Drosophila melanogaster: one gene and its partners. The protein of the gene in region 3 interacts with the protein of the main gene of each other region in a pairwise test. Each region holds a gene or a part of one and is shown on either strand. Other genes may lie near its edges.

What was found.
Region 1: the proteins of CG14282 (region 3) and CG18294 interact in a two-hybrid assay, tested with the Drosophila melanogaster proteins (one large-scale study listed by BioGRID).
Region 2: the proteins of CG14282 (region 3) and CG14096 interact in a two-hybrid assay, tested with the Drosophila melanogaster proteins (one large-scale study listed by BioGRID).
Region 4: the proteins of CG14282 (region 3) and Mlp60A interact in a two-hybrid assay, tested with the Drosophila melanogaster proteins (one large-scale study listed by BioGRID).

Annotation. Positions count from the first base shown.
Region 1 is NT_037436.4:19,474,468-19,477,566, forward strand, and holds CG18294 (uncharacterized protein), read right to left. Parts: upstream 1,112-3,099; 5' UTR 1,058-1,111; coding exon 1,046-1,057; exon of another isoform or gene 991-1,045; coding exon 577-990; 3' UTR 550-576; downstream 1-549. Other genes in the region: CG32213 (uncharacterized protein), read left to right, coding at 1,423-1,434, 1,494-1,871.
Region 2 is NT_037436.4:19,466,056-19,468,761, forward strand, and holds CG14096 (uncharacterized protein), read right to left. Parts: upstream 1,025-2,706; 5' UTR 975-1,024; coding exon 963-974; intron 908-962; coding exon 551-907; 3' UTR 512-550; downstream 1-511. Other genes in the region: CG32214 (uncharacterized protein), read left to right, coding at 1,345-1,356, 1,416-1,754.
Region 3 is NT_033777.3:19,175,234-19,178,521, reverse strand, and holds CG14282 (uncharacterized protein), read right to left. Parts: upstream 1,523-3,288; 5' UTR 1,471-1,522; coding exon 589-1,470; 3' UTR 536-588; downstream 1-535. Other genes in the region: CG5555 (uncharacterized protein), read left to right, coding at 1-264.
Region 4 is NT_033778.4:24,072,786-24,078,723, reverse strand, and holds Mlp60A (muscle LIM protein at 60A), read right to left. Parts: upstream 4,123-5,938; 5' UTR 3,655-4,122; intron 3,551-3,654; exon of another isoform or gene 3,526-3,550; 5' UTR 3,502-3,525; coding exon 3,387-3,501; intron 3,276-3,386; coding exon 3,116-3,275; coding exon of another isoform or gene 3,112-3,115; exon of another isoform or gene 2,770-3,111; intron 2,544-2,769; coding exon 2,441-2,543; intron 2,379-2,440; coding exon 2,282-2,378; intron 2,222-2,281; coding exon 2,125-2,221; intron 2,071-2,124; coding exon 1,774-2,070; intron 1,667-1,773; coding exon 1,346-1,666; intron 1,287-1,345; coding exon 1,016-1,286; 3' UTR 501-1,015; downstream 1-500. Other genes in the region: CG10339 (uncharacterized protein), read left to right, coding at 1-390; Gpat4 (Glycerol-3-phosphate acyltransferase 4), read right to left, coding at 5,393-5,696, 5,763-5,938. UniProt on the Drosophila melanogaster protein: Positive regulator of myogenesis.

The DNA of each region.
Region 1 (3,099 bases), on a different chromosome or scaffold from region 3:
AACTTTAGCTGCCTCAAGCGCTACAAATCTGGGGTCGGAAACTATTCCTTCTACCTTTCACCCACTTTTCCTTGAATATAGTACATATACCGATTTTACTCTGGGGCAATAACATATATTTAACATATATTTAAAACATATATTCCGCAATCGCAATAAAAACCTTTTTAAAGACACGGATATTCTGTAAATAGGCAACCAAACGCAAATTGGGCCATCGGTTCTAAGACAGGTTGATTGTGCCAAATCTGTGGCTCATATCGGTCACAGGTCAGCTTTGACCTTGACATAATTGCCAAGGTCTGTACTCAAAGCCGAAAAATAAAATAAACCTATAATACAAATCAATTTCGCACAATTTAATGTAACAAACATTGGACAGCAGCAACTGCCGCTGAGCTGACAATAATTTTTATGACCATTACGTGACCTGCGTTCGAAATTTTCAAATGCCCCCCATCAGTAGGTTGTCGATTTCGACGCTTTAGTATGCCAGCGGTAAATCCAATTAGCGAAGCCCCAAAAAATGGGAGAAATTGGAGTTCGTTTGATTTTTTTTATTACTTTTAAAGTTTTCTAAAGAAGAACAGGAGCTGATGGCAAGGCACTGTATGCCAAAGGCGAGGTGTAAGCCAAGGAGGAAATGTGGGCCAATGGAGCAGCAGCGTACTTGGCCACAACAGGAGCAGCCAATGGAGCAGCAGCGTACTTGGCCACCACAGGAGCGGCCAATGGAGCAGCAGCGTACTTGGCCACCACAGGAGCGGCAACGGGAGCAATCACAGGAGCAGCGGCGATTCCATTGTAGTTCCTGGCGATAACCTGGCTACTGGTGGCGGTCACAACTGGAGCGGGAGCAGCTACCACGGCAGCAGGAGCTGAGTAAGCCAGAGGAGCAGAGTAAGCCAGAGGAGCAGTGTAAGCAAGGGGAGCACCCAGAAGTCCAGGCTTGGCAGCAGCGCAGGCAACGATAGCCAGAATAACAACGGCCTGTCAATAAAATGCGATGAGTAAATATGGCAGGAAGCTAAGATTCCAAACTTACGGATTTGAACATTATGATTATGGATCTGGTGCTTACGGTTCGAAAACTTGAACTTGTCTGATGTCGTCCAACACATTCCATACCACTATTTATACGCCGCATCGGGACTGCGTCTGTGACCTCAGGCCATCGCATTCCGTGGCCACCAAGAGTTATTCCACATTCTGCAGTCAGCAGTGGGAAATCACATAAACTACGGCACAGTGCAAATGGTAAATGGTAACGGGAGACTGTCACCGCATTTAAATGAACTGAATGAGTGCGATCATGAGTCAGATCTGAGCAAACATTCGGGTATAAATATGCTCCACGAAGAGCAGTGGGATATCAAAGAGTTTCTAGCCTTCCGAAGAAGCAAACCAAACAAATATTTCACCATGTTCAAATACGTACGTTCTTCAGAAAGGACACCCAAAGGATTAAACTAATCAAGTTTATTTGTTCACAGGCTGTCGTCGTTCTCGCTCTCGTTGCCTGCGCTGCTGCCAAGCCTGGACTCCTGGGTGCTCCCCTTGCTTACACTGCTCCTCTGGCTTACTCTGCTCCTGCTGCCGTGGTAGCTGCTCCCGCTCCAGTTGTGACCGCAACCAGTAGCCAGGTTATCGCCAGGAATTACAATGGAATCGCCTCTGCTCCTGTGATTGCTCCCGTTGCTGCTCCTCTGGCTGCTCCTGTGGTGGCGAAGTACGCGGCTACTCCTCTGGCTGCTCCTGTGGTGGCGAAGTACGCGGCTACTCCTCTGGCTGCACGACTGGCCTACTCCTCGCCTTTGGCTTACTCCGCACCACTGAGCTACGCTGCTGCTCCTGCACCATTTCTCATCTAAATTTTTATGCTGTGATTATCTAGGACGATAAATATAATAAAAATGAACGCTTATATCGATTATATGACCCCATAAATTGCTGAAGTATTAGATTTTTGGACTTGCAAAAAAAAAAACGATACTCGTAGAATAACAGGGTATACTAGATTCGTTTGGAAGTACGTAACACATGTTCGGCCGGATGAACGTCGAATTCTCGGGAACTATGAAAGCAAGAGAGAATGCTATAGTTGAGTTCCCTGAAGAAAGCGTTTATGACCATATAAAATATATAAATTCCTGATCAGGATCAGTAGCCGAATGGATCTGACCATGTCCGTATGCTAGAAGATTAAGATTAATACAGTTTCTAGAGACTTAGACGCAGTGCAAGTTTTTTGACCCATGTTGCAACGCCCACAAGACGCCCAAAACTGCCACTCCCACTTATTAAAAATGTTTTTATATATTTTTATATTTCCATTAGTCAAGTTAATTGCTATCGATTTGCAAAAGAGCATTTTACCACGCCCACTCTAACGCCCTAAAACAGCCCAAAACTGCCACGCCCACATTTTTATCTGTATATCAAATTAAAAAAACAGTTTTACAATAAAAGGCTGTATTGGAAGTGCTTTCTTACAAAAAAGAAATTCATTGGGATCTTTGACCGTCTAAGATCTGGGGATTTTGAAAGCCCGAAATTTCTGATATATACAAGTAATATTCTAGTAACTTCTTAAATGCCCAAACTTTAGTAAAATGTTGTAGTTTGCATATCAAACTAGTAGAGTAAAAATGTATACTAAATTCGTTGAAAAGTACGTAATGGGTAAAAGGAAGCTAAAGTTTTCGAGCCCGTATTGTATATATACTTTTAATAAGAATCACTGTTTTCACGACTATGTATCCGACTGTTCCTATGAATGCTGTGATCTCGAAAGCTATAAAAGCTAAAAAGTTAAAATGCAGCAGGGAGATTCCAGAAACGTAGACGCAACACGAGTATTTCGGTAATCATTTAGCGAAAGACCTATATTTTCTAAATCACTACAATACTTTTAAAATTTGCAGTTAGTTTAGATTTGACGATTGATTTAGAAATGGCTGTGATTGAGAAATGCATCAGTCGTTAAAATTATAATATAAGAATAAGAATAATTGGAATAATTGTTAATCAATGCTGGGAAATTTTCTAGCAATCATTTTCGTGTACGTTCAGAGCTAATTTTTCATTGAAATAAATGAA
Region 2 (2,706 bases), on a different chromosome or scaffold from region 3:
TACATTATAGAGTAAAATCTTAACACCTACCTGGAATTTGATAAGCAACCAAGAAAAGATTGTTTCTTTCAGCCTAATGGCTTATTTTTCCATGGCTTAAAATTTGTTCGTAACTACCATCTGAGTGTTAATACTTAACTGCCTAGTACCGTTAAATTAAAATGTCATTACTTTTTAAGCCCTTGATTTCTTTCAATTAGCACTGGAAAGTTCATTAGCCCGACCTCGACTGCTCCGCGACCTTGACTTAATTACATATTTCAGTCGCCCAACAACTTCAAAACAAACCATTTTGGCCACTTTTAAATATCACGCATCCAGCGACGGCTGCCGGTGGCCAATAACTTGTCCACTGGCTACGTGATATGCATCCGCAAACGAGGCGTTGGAGTTCCAGAGGCCAGTCATTACCGTTGTTTATGAGCACGGCTAGCTGTCAGTGGCTAATTCAATTTAAATTGTGCGGTAGTCCTCAGTACCACTGGCCCATTGAAGTAATTTCTACTGATTTATCTCATTTTTTTGTATTTTTATTGATCAGTCGACGTTCTTACAGAAGAACTGGAGCAGCAGCCGGAAGAGTTTTATAAGCCAATGGAGAAGTGTAAGCCAGAGGAGCGGAGTAGGCCAAAGGAGAAGCGTAGGCAAAAGGAGCAGCAGTGTACTTGGCCACCACAGGAGCGGCAACGGGAGCAATCACAGGAGCAACGGCGATTCCATTGTAGTTCCTGGCGATAACCTGGCTACTGGTGGCGGTCACAACTGGAGCGGGAGCAGCTACCACGGCAGCAGGAGCTGAGTAAGCCAGAGGAGCAGAGTAAGCCAGAGGAGCAGTGTAAGCAAGGGGAGCACCCAGAAGTCCAGGCTTGGCAGCAGCGCAGGCAACGATAGCCAGAATAACAACGGCCTGTCAATAAAATGCGATGAGTAAATATGGCAGGAAGCTAAGATTCCAAACTTACGGATTTGAACATTATGATTATGGATCTGGTGCTTACGGTTCGAAAACTTGAACTTGTCTGATGTCGTCCAACACATTCCATACCACTATTTATACGCCGCATCGGGACTGCGTCTGTGACCTCAGGCCATCGCATTCCGTGGCCACTAAGAGTTATTCCACATTCTGCAGTCAGCAGTGGGAAATCACATAAACTACGGCAAAGTGCAAATGGTAAATGGTAAATGGTAAATGGTAACGGGAGACTGTCACCGCATTTAAATGCGTGCGATCATGAGTCAGATCTGAGCAAACATTCGGGTATAAATATGCTCCACGAAGAGCAGTGGGATATCAAAGAGTTTCTAGCCTTCCGAAGAAGCAAACCAAACAAATATTTCACCATGTTCAAATACGTACGTTCTTCAGAAAGGACACCCAAAGGATTAAACTAATCAAGTTAATTTGTTCACAGGCTGTCGTCGTTCTCGCTCTCGTTGCCTGCGCTGCTGCCAAGCCTGGACTCCTGGGTGCTCCCCTTGCTTACACTGCTCCTCTGGCTTACTCTGCTCCTGCTGCCGTGGTAGCTGCTCCCGCTCCAGTTGTGACCGCAACCAGTAGCCAGGTCATCGCCAGGAATTACAATGGAATCGCCGCTGCTCCTGTGATTGCTCCCGTTGCTGCTCCTCTGGCTGCTCCTGTGGTGGCGAAGTACGCGGCTACTCCTCTGGCTGCACCACTGGCCTACTCCTCTCCTTTGGCTTACTCCGCACCACTGAGCTACGCCGCTGCTTCAGGACCGCTCCTTATCTAAATTACTAAGCTGTGATCACATCGGAGACAACGATAATAAATGGAGATATAATAAGACGTTATTCAATTGTATATTTTTTAAATACGCTTTAAAAACGCACGAAGATGATTCCTCGATAATTTCCCAGCATTTATGAACAATTATTCCGAGAATGCACACTAGCGCCACCCAACGACTGAAACATTTCTTAATCACAGCCCTATAATATGTTGAATCTAACTACAAAAAATCCGAACTTCCGAGCTTTTAAGATCCCCAGATCTTAGACGGTCAAAGATTCCACTTAATTTCTTTTTGTGCGAAAGCACTTTATTCAACGTTTTACATAATTTTTATAGAATCCAATAAGGCCTTTTATTGTAAAACTAATGTTTTATTAAAACCGAACGCATATAAACTAAAAAAAAGAGAGAACGTCATAGTACAGTTCCCCTACTATCAGATACCCGTTACTTAGCTAGTCGAACTGTGAACGAGAAATTTCAACATCTATCATACACATTTATCAAATGTGTGAGAGAATCAGTTTATTGACGGATTGTGGGCTTTACAAGGGGCGTGTTCTGGGTAGAAAAAATAAAAAGAGAGAATGCTATAAACGAGTTCCCCGACTATCAGATACCCGTTACTCAGCTAGTGTGAATGCGAACGAAAAAATTATTCATTTTTCTGGAATATCTATAGATATTTGGGAATAAAATGAGAAAAAATTTAAAATTGTTAAAAGTGTGGGCGTGACCGTTTTGTCGTTTTGCAGGCGAAAGAATTTGATATACAGATAAAAATGTGGGCGTGGCAGTTTTGGGCTGTTTTAGGGCGTTAGAGTGGGCGTGGTAAAATGCTTTTTTGCAAATCGATAGCAATTAACTTGACTAATGCAAATGTGAAAATATATAAAAACATTTTTAATAAGTGGGAGTGGCAGTTTTGGGCGGCTTGTGGGCGTTGCAAC
Region 3 (3,288 bases):
GAGCGTGAGTTGTCCAAGGCACTGCAGAGCAACCAGAGCTCCTGGCACGGCAAATACAAACTCTTGGAACAGCAGTACAACGAGTTCAAGCAAACCCACGACGCCGAGGTGACCGAATTAAAGGAACAGCTTCGCGACATTATGTTCTTTTTGGACAATCAGCAAAAGTTGGCCAACACCGAGATAGCGGGTGGCACCGTTACAGGCATTGCAGAGAAGGAACCGGATCCCAACACCCGGCGCCGTAATCGTCGCAAGAAATAAATCATAGCCACCGTACGCCGTCTTTATATCCAAGCTGCATTGTTTACCCGATCTTAGATGGCTATGCAAACCGAGTATATAAGGTTTATAACAGCTCTATATGTGATTTCCTTTGTATAACGAAAACCTAAGGATTAAATATAACTACTACTACGTAGAAAACCATATGTCCCAAAATGTATTGCGTGTTTATTTTGAATTAATAAAATGTTTGAAGAAAGCCGCTTTTCATTTAAATTTTTCCGCTGGTGGCAATAAATTCTGTGTACTTAGCTCGCCAATTTAAAGTTATTATTCGAATACAATCGTGGATTAATAATGATATCATTCAGGCTTCGGACAAATATCCTCGCAATTGAATGTGGGATCCGAAAGCTCCTGGGGTTGCACTGCTGGATCTGCTTGGAAAATCACGAGCTTCTCCTTCATTTCCTGCTCGTTACGATCAAGATTCATCAGATAGGCGGCAATAAAGGCGCGTGGATCCTGCGGCGAATGAATGTGCAGTTGAGCGAAGGCCCTGACCAGTACGTCGCCCATCTGTTCCTTGATCTCGCCAGCCATTGCATCCACGGCCTCCAGATTCTTGCTCTTGGGCATCCAGTCGTATCCCTTGAAACAGCAGCACTCGCAGTAGGTCTTCGGATCGGAATCCTTGAGCAGTTTGAAAAAGGGCAGCAGCTCCGCCTCGCAGCTCTTCAGCTTGGCCACCTCACGCACGAAGCGCTTATGCAGCTCGCACACCTCCTTTCCGCATGCCCGGATAACCTCCGCATCCTGGGAGAGTGTCGCCGTCCGCTTTATGTAGTCCACCGTGTTCTCGTGGAACGACTTGAACTTGCACTTCTCCTCGTTGTAGGCATACAGGCACTGGCGGGCATAGATGATGATGTTGTCCCGCCTCTTTCGAATCTCCTCACTACGCTGGGTGAAGTGCGCTGTCACCTCTTCCAGGCTATTGATCCGCTGGGCGAATTTCGTCACATCCTCGGTGCTCTCGCAAACTACCTTGCCCTTCTTCTCGTGCCCGCACTTCTGGTTCGCCTTGTTAATCTTGGCCAGCTCCGCCTTTAGCTCTAGATTCAGATTCCTTAGCTCCGTGTTCAAGCGCTTCACATCGTTGTCGTTGCAGATCAACGCCTGGAGCATCTCGTGCAGGCAGTTCTTGTGCGGATTGGGCAGCTCATCGGGGCAGCCGGCCAACATTTTTAAGGATTAATTGGGTAGAATATTTTCACAACAAATAGATGTATGTAGCATATATATTTCAGTGTGAATCTTTACTTTTGATCTTTAGTAGAATTTTCTATCAGTTTACTGGGATTCTACGAAAAGAATCCCTTTAACTTAATACAGTATTGAAATATTACAATATGGGCTAATTTAAATATTTTTGTATTGCATTTATAAGCCTTGGCTTAGCAGAATCTTAATTCTTTGTTAGATTGTTTCTTTGCTTGAATATAGTTAAATAACCGAATAACAGTTTTCTTGCGAAATAAAAGTCCAGCATAAAATGTAAAATTACTTACTCGCTGCCAAATTGATTGGTTCTTATCTACAAATATACATACATAAGATATATCAGTACGCTGAATTACAAATTCCCAAAAAGTCTGTCCAATACGAACCGGTTTGACTAGAAACCGAATATTCACTTAAATTGCGTACCGACAGCAACAAAAACAAATAAAGAAGGCAAATAAAAATGAAATTTATTTGGCAGTGAACAAAAGGCAGCAAAAATAAAAAAAAATTCCTAATGGTCTCCCCCAACAATCCCCGCCCCTCCCTTCCCATTTCTCTAAAAAACGGTTCCACTTTTGGTTCGTCTACAATTGGCACACGATCAATCATTATGTCTCTTCTAACGCAAATTTATCTAAACGAAAGGTAGGGTATGCTGCATTTATTGATACCCTCTAGGATTAGTGTGTATCAGTTATATAAGTAGATACTATATTTTCGTACAGGGTATGCTCGTTGGCGAATACCGAAAGGAACTACTTGCAAAACTCCCACTAATGGACAATCGAAAAGCTTTCGAAAATTAAGTTTTGGCACAAGTCAACCTGTTTTCGGATGAGGAGAACTTGCGAAAGGTAAGCGGGAATCGACCTTTGACCGTCTTGTACCTGTAATTAAGTAACTTAATTAATTTGCCGCCAATAAAACCCAACAAACACAAAACAATGATTGAAGCTTGCGAAATTTTGATTTCAGCGTTTGAATAAATTTTGCATAATTTTTTCGGTTTCTTTAAGAATTTCATGGATATTATTGTGTTTAACCCGTGAAGGGTATAATTTGATTGATTTTCGGCGATGAGCATGGAATTTTCGACGGGTTTTAAATTTGATGCATAACGCAACTAAACTGTTGCACAATGGAACAGTCATTTTTAGCTTACATCAGATCATTACTTAACCACTGGTATAGTAGTTGGTCTTAAAATGCAAAATAAAAATGCATTTAACTATTTGTATGCTTTATGAATCGAAAGGTTTTCGAACCCTTTTAGGTTTAAGCAGCTGCTTGATCAATTTTTCATTTTCCATTGGGGGGAATAATTATAATAATTAGAATTATAGAACGCGACTAATGAGCAAATATTGACTGAGAAACTCGCCCAAGGCGTTTCAAATGGGCGGATGCAAAGCCCGAGTATGCAAAGGAGAGATAAACAAATAACCGAAGGACCACAGATGTGAAGAAAAGGACGACCGATCAAAAGGATGTGCCAGGATGGCAGCGCGGATCTCGGGGTGGGTCCCTCCTCCTTATCCTCTTCCCATTTGCATAGAAAAGTGACCCAGTTCTCTAAGGATGCTGATGATTGTTTAGAGCTCGCAGCTCGACTTCCTAATGCGCAGGACTCTGAAAAATGGCGTGAAAAAAATGTATTTAAATAATTTACGTATTTTTCTATTCGAAAGCACAACGATTTTTTTCGTTTCTACCTCTACTTTTTTTGCGGAGGATAAATGAAAAATGATGTTTGACCCTCCCGTCCTGCGAGACGCA
Region 4 (5,938 bases), on a different chromosome or scaffold from region 3:
GTGCCCAAGTACTTCGACCAGATCTTCGTGTGGGGCAATCCCTACATGACCAACTCCGTTGACTGGAAGTCGACCGACAAGAAGATCGCCGACATCATCATGACCCTGTGGGCGAACTTCGCCAAGACCTCGAACCCCACGAAGTCGAACGTGTACGTGAAGTGGAACGCCATGACCCCCAATAACGATTCAGTGCTTCTGATCGACGAGAGCTTCAACACGGACAACCTGCTGAACAACCAGCGGATCAACTTCTGGAGATCGCTGTACCCCAAGATCCTTGTCTTCTCCGCCGACTGCTGCAACTCCACGTTCTCGGGCAGCGGCCTGGTGATCGCCACTTCCGTTCCCATACTATGTACCCTTAGCATTATCGTTAATATATTTTGAATAAAGAGCTCCTGCAATAGATGACGCTTTGACCCTCTCCAAGTAATCTGTCCTACCGTTACTTATTACTTATTATATAATAAATATTTGAAAACAACAGAACCACATGTACAAAGTTACCACTTGTCGTTTATTAGTCGTTCGAAACTTATAGGATATTGATTTGTTGCTACGACTGCCATATATGTATATCATATCATAGGGAGTAACTCAGAAGTTCAAAGGATTTCGAATGGCGGTATCGATTGAAAATGGTGTGCATTTGCATTTGCACACCAATCCTTTGGATTCTTGGGCATCCTCGATAAACAAGGTTTGGAAATTCGTTTTCGCAGGTTTTACGATGAAGTTCAAGTCGAAGGTTAGAATGCATTTTTCGGTACTTATGTTCGAGACTTATACAATTTCTATACTAACCACCGCCAACTCATTCGCCTTCTATACTTTCATAACTAAATGTCGTTGTCTTGGAGCTAAAAGTACACTCTTGTGGAATTGCAATACTACACCTATTCGTCATCCTCAAAAATGTGGGCGCTCAAGGACTGAAATCCCCAGCACGAATCTTGGAGCTTATTCCATGCTGGTGGGATTAGTTCTTGAACGCGCTTTTTTGGTCGAGTTGTTAAGCCATTGTCAGTGTGCCAGCTCCGATTCCGTAGCCCACACCCTTTGGCCCATAGAACTTGGCGTAGCACGATCGGCAATAGATGCCGCCATCGGGTCCGTCGTTCAGATTGGTCGAGTCCAGGTATTTCCGGCACTCCATGCAGTAGAAACAGAGCTTGTGCCACACGTTCTTCGCGCTCTTCACCTGTTCCGCGGCGAAGACCATGAATCCGCATCGCGGACACCCGTTCTCCGACTTTTGTCCGTTGCGATCGATGGTTCCCCAGCTGGAAGAAGAGATCCTTGGATCCAGACGAACTCTCTTTGAACTGGACAACGGACTTACCAGCTGGGCGTGTACTCGTAGTTGGTGGACACCAGGGTGGGCGTGTGTCCGTACCCGACGCCTTTGGGGCCAAAGAGCTTCGCGTAGCAGAGCTTGCAATAGATATTGTCATCCGGTCCGTCACAGGCGAGCACCGAGTCCAGGGGTCGGGTGCACCTGGCGCAGTTGAAGCACTTCCTGTGGTACATCTTCCCCTTGGACAGCTGCAGCTCGGCCGCAAAGACCGCTCCGCCACATCGGGGACATCCCTCGCCGTCCGGAGCCATGATCGAAGTGGTGTCCGGAGCCACAAAGGGTCGTTCGGATGCCAAGTTCTCCTCACTGTAACAAATCTCTTTCAGTCAAATTATGGATTGGATTTTGACGAATATGATTGAAAGCTTGTTTTATCCAAATTCAAGATGAGCCTTGGAATGGAAACCACTCACGTAATGCCGTCGGTTTGCAGGAAACTGGATCCACAGGCGAATCCGTAGCCATGGGGTCCCCACTTCTTGCCATAGCAAGTCTTGCAGTAGACCTCATTGTCCGGACCATCGCACGCGATAATGGAGTCCAGAGTTTTGGTGCAGTCCCGACACTTGAAGCACTTCCGGTGCCAGCTCCTTCCCTTGGAGAGAACTTGTTCCGCGGCGAATACTACGCCGCCACAACGTGGGCATCCTTCTCCGATTGGCGCCTGGATTTGCTCCACATTTATGATGGAGGCTTTGGGAGCCATGTCGCTGCAAGCACCAACATAATAACCTAGCCAGAATTGGTGTTACTACTAATCTCACCTTTGCCACTCGCTATCCCTGATGTCGGACATCAACCCCAAGGACGAAATGCCGATGTGCCCGTAACCCCTGGCCCCAAACTTCTGAGCATAACATCCTGAAAAGCGAATGCTTCTAGAGATCCTAATTCTCTAAAATCTATGGGTTGGAAATGTACCTCTACAGTAAATGTCCTTGTCCGGACCATCACAGTGAAGAGTTGAGTCTAGAGTCTTGTTGCATTGCACGCACTTAAAGCACCTTCGATGGTAACCCTGCGATAAAGAACACCACCTAAGACAAGGGCCGACGGACCGAGATCGTTTCAATAGTTCACCTTTCCTCTGGCCAGCATCTGCTCGGCGGCATACACATATATGCCACACCGTGGGCAGCCCAGCCCGTCGGGTGCTTTTGGGGGAATCTTGGGCGGAACGAATCTAGAAAGATTCAAATGCCTCCCTCAATTACGGCGCTCTCGGTGGACATCCAATGTGGGGGGGGGGGGGGGTTGTTTCATCTTAGTCACACACAAGACGAGGAACAAAAGTCAGAAAGGTCGGTCGTTGTGCCCGAACAAAAAACGAATTGGGGAAATACACGAAATCCACATAGACAGCAGCGAGGGAGATGCGAATAGAAACCTATAAATAACATGTGAATAAGCTTACAACTACTTTGTTTTATTGTACATTTATTTTATCAATTTACAGTCCGCGGACGTTGTAAACAAAGATACAAGAATTATTTCACCAAAGACCACAATGTGTTTGCTAGTTTAACATTAACAATCGGTTAGTGTTAGTGGAATTTTCCAGGGAATCAGAAACTGGATATCCCTGGCGGTTTCTGCCCGGAAAGTTAAAAACAAATTTTTCGGTTGCTTTTTTGGGGGTGGGCGTGTGGAAAACATTGAAAACATACAGGTTCTAATAGAAAGCAAAACTACACATTTAATTCAAGGAATTTTACACAATTTTCATACAAAACATATTTCTTATTTAGTCCTTACTCTCTGTTTAAGTGGGCGCCAGTGTCCGTGGACAGGCAGCCGGCACCACCACCGAAACCGTATCCCTTGGGACCGTATTTGCGACCATGGCAGTTTTTGCAGAAAAGCTCCTTCTCGTGCTCCGTGCAGTTGGTCGAGTCCAGGGCCTTGTTGCACATGCCTGAAACGGGCGAGTGGAGGGGGAGGGGGGTAGGGTTTTGCGTTAGCTATCCGACATCCGACTCGAAGGACCAAGTCCAGACGATCTGGCTGGCAGGACATTTATACTTACTGCACTTGAAGCAGGTCTTGTGGAATTTGTAGCCTCCGGCAACGCGCTCCTCGGCAGCGTAGACCGACTTGCCGCACGCGGGGCACTTGGGGGTTTCAACGGGAACGAAAGGCATTTTGATCTGAGTGCGTGTGTGTGTCTGCGGGGGCAAAAAACTGTGATTATGGCAAACTGCAGCGGCTATGCGTGTGGTGGATCAGCGCGATTCAATTATATACACACATATATATATGTATATATATATATATATAATCCTAAGGATATATACCTCGGAGGTACTCTGTGAAGTAGTTCCTATTCGTCGGAAATGCCGCGGACTAGACTGGAAAGATTCTGTACACAGGTAGTCTATATTTGTGGATGCACACGGCACAACTAAGAAAATACAGTTTGCGTAATAAAAACAGCACTTTCTGAATATATCATTTATTTATCATGCAATGCCCACGGCTCTATGTATGTGTACTCTCGGCTATATCCACGCCCCGATGTCTCATTCCTGGGCTGGTAACAGACCAGTTAGACTAACTTGGATTACTATATCTTCACCCACTGGGAAGGAATTTGCCTCGTCTTGAAGTAATTTGTTTTGTTCTACTGCACTCTCAAGTGCGAGGCATGCAAGATTTTTGGGGAAAAATCGAAATATATAATGGGCTGTTTCTCACGAAGGTTCTACCCGTATAACCAACCAACTAACCAACCAACCATCCATCCAACCAACTAACCCATATGTAATCTGATTTTACGCAACAATTAATTTATTAGCTTTCGACACGCACACCAAAATCCGCGCAGATGTAAATATGTATGTTTGTAGTCTAAAAATATATGCACACCCATGCGATGTGTATCAAAGTACATTCATGGCCTTATTTTAAACTTAGAAATTCGAAAATAGCTCATAACTGCTCAACCCAGATCCATAAATAAACCCATTACGCATTGATCGCTCGATCGGAATTGGAATCGGATTTGGAATCGGAATCGGATTTACATGCCATAAAGTGTTCGAAAATAGGTTCCAGTTTTCGAAAGAGCGTTTTTGGAGAGTGGATCGAGTGGCCAGCCACAAGTGTTTCAATTGGGGGGCCAAACGAATATGCACATGGATATGAATATGAATATGGATGTGGATGTGGATGTGTATGTGGATGGAGTGAAGCATCTTTTCATCAGCGCCTGCGATGCCCATGTATAAACATATCTATAAATAGAGGGGCTCTGGGTATTTGTTAATTGTAAATCGCTCACTTGCGATTGGCAATGAGCCTAACAATTTATGAAGGCCAGGCCCATTGACTCGACAAATCTGACAATGTGGTTTGCTTTGCCAGCATTGTTTATCCGCGTGCCGATCCGATCCGATACCACCATTATTTTTGGCGACAGTTCAGGGTTAGTTCATCGCCAAGAATGTCGGGAATTAACCACTCGATCGACCGATCGCCTCCAACTCGGAACACGGAAGTATGTATGTCTTAATTACCTGTATGGGTGGACAATTAGTGCAAAATAGACATTTGGCGCAGCGCTGAGTCAGCCACTCGTATTTATTATTAGCCGCATAATTATGAATATGTAATCTAGTTATTCGCCATCTTGTTGGCTTCATTTGGCTCCGCTTAACTATGCATGATATGCAGGTGGCCAAAAATCAACATCCATAGGTTGCTGACCTGGTCTCGCTCCATCCAACAAAGAGGCCTCACCTTCGAGCCCATTCTTCGCCAGAGTGTGGCTGGCGTTTTGCATGACAAAGAAATGAATTTACAGCGATCGGGTCCAGATGTTATGATAATCAGCTTATCAGATATCGTTTATTTTACAAAGTAGATAAATTAATTAATATACAAATAATTATTATAATTGTACATTTGACTTCATCTTTTATTTAACCATCCAATTGTTAATCGTAATTTATACAAATTACAGTCGCTGCAATACAAATTATGCAAAATCATGTATGTATATCATTTACAGTCACTGTATGGTAATATGGTAATTTAGGTGGAGTCCGACTTCAGCCGATTGGCAAACTCGACTTGCTGGATCTCCCTCCACTCCTTCTTTGGCTTCATGCGCTTCAGCTGCCCGTCCCAGACCAGATCAATCAAACCTCCCTGCTTCGCGATGACACTCTTCACGCGGTTCGCGAAGTCGATCGCCGACTCTCCCTCCTGCCTGTACATCGGCGGCAGGTACCACACATCGCACACGATGGCCCACGAGGTCATCATCATGTACAGATACTGCATCATCGAGTACTTCGCGCTGTTCCAGAAGGCGTCGCCGAACCTCGGATCGTACCTTCAAGCCAAAAGAGACCCCACGGATGAGAAATGGTTTCGCCGCGAAAAACTATTCACTACTCACTTAATGGCCACCGGGTAGATGACGCCGCCAACTTCGAAGCTGCCCTTCTTGAACTGCATGACCGACGTGTTGTTGATGCAAGTTCCCTCCGGGAAGATAAGGATCGGTGGGTTGTTCGGATCAGACACGTGCTGCTTCAGTCGCTCGGCCACCAAATGACGATCCTTGGCCTCGCC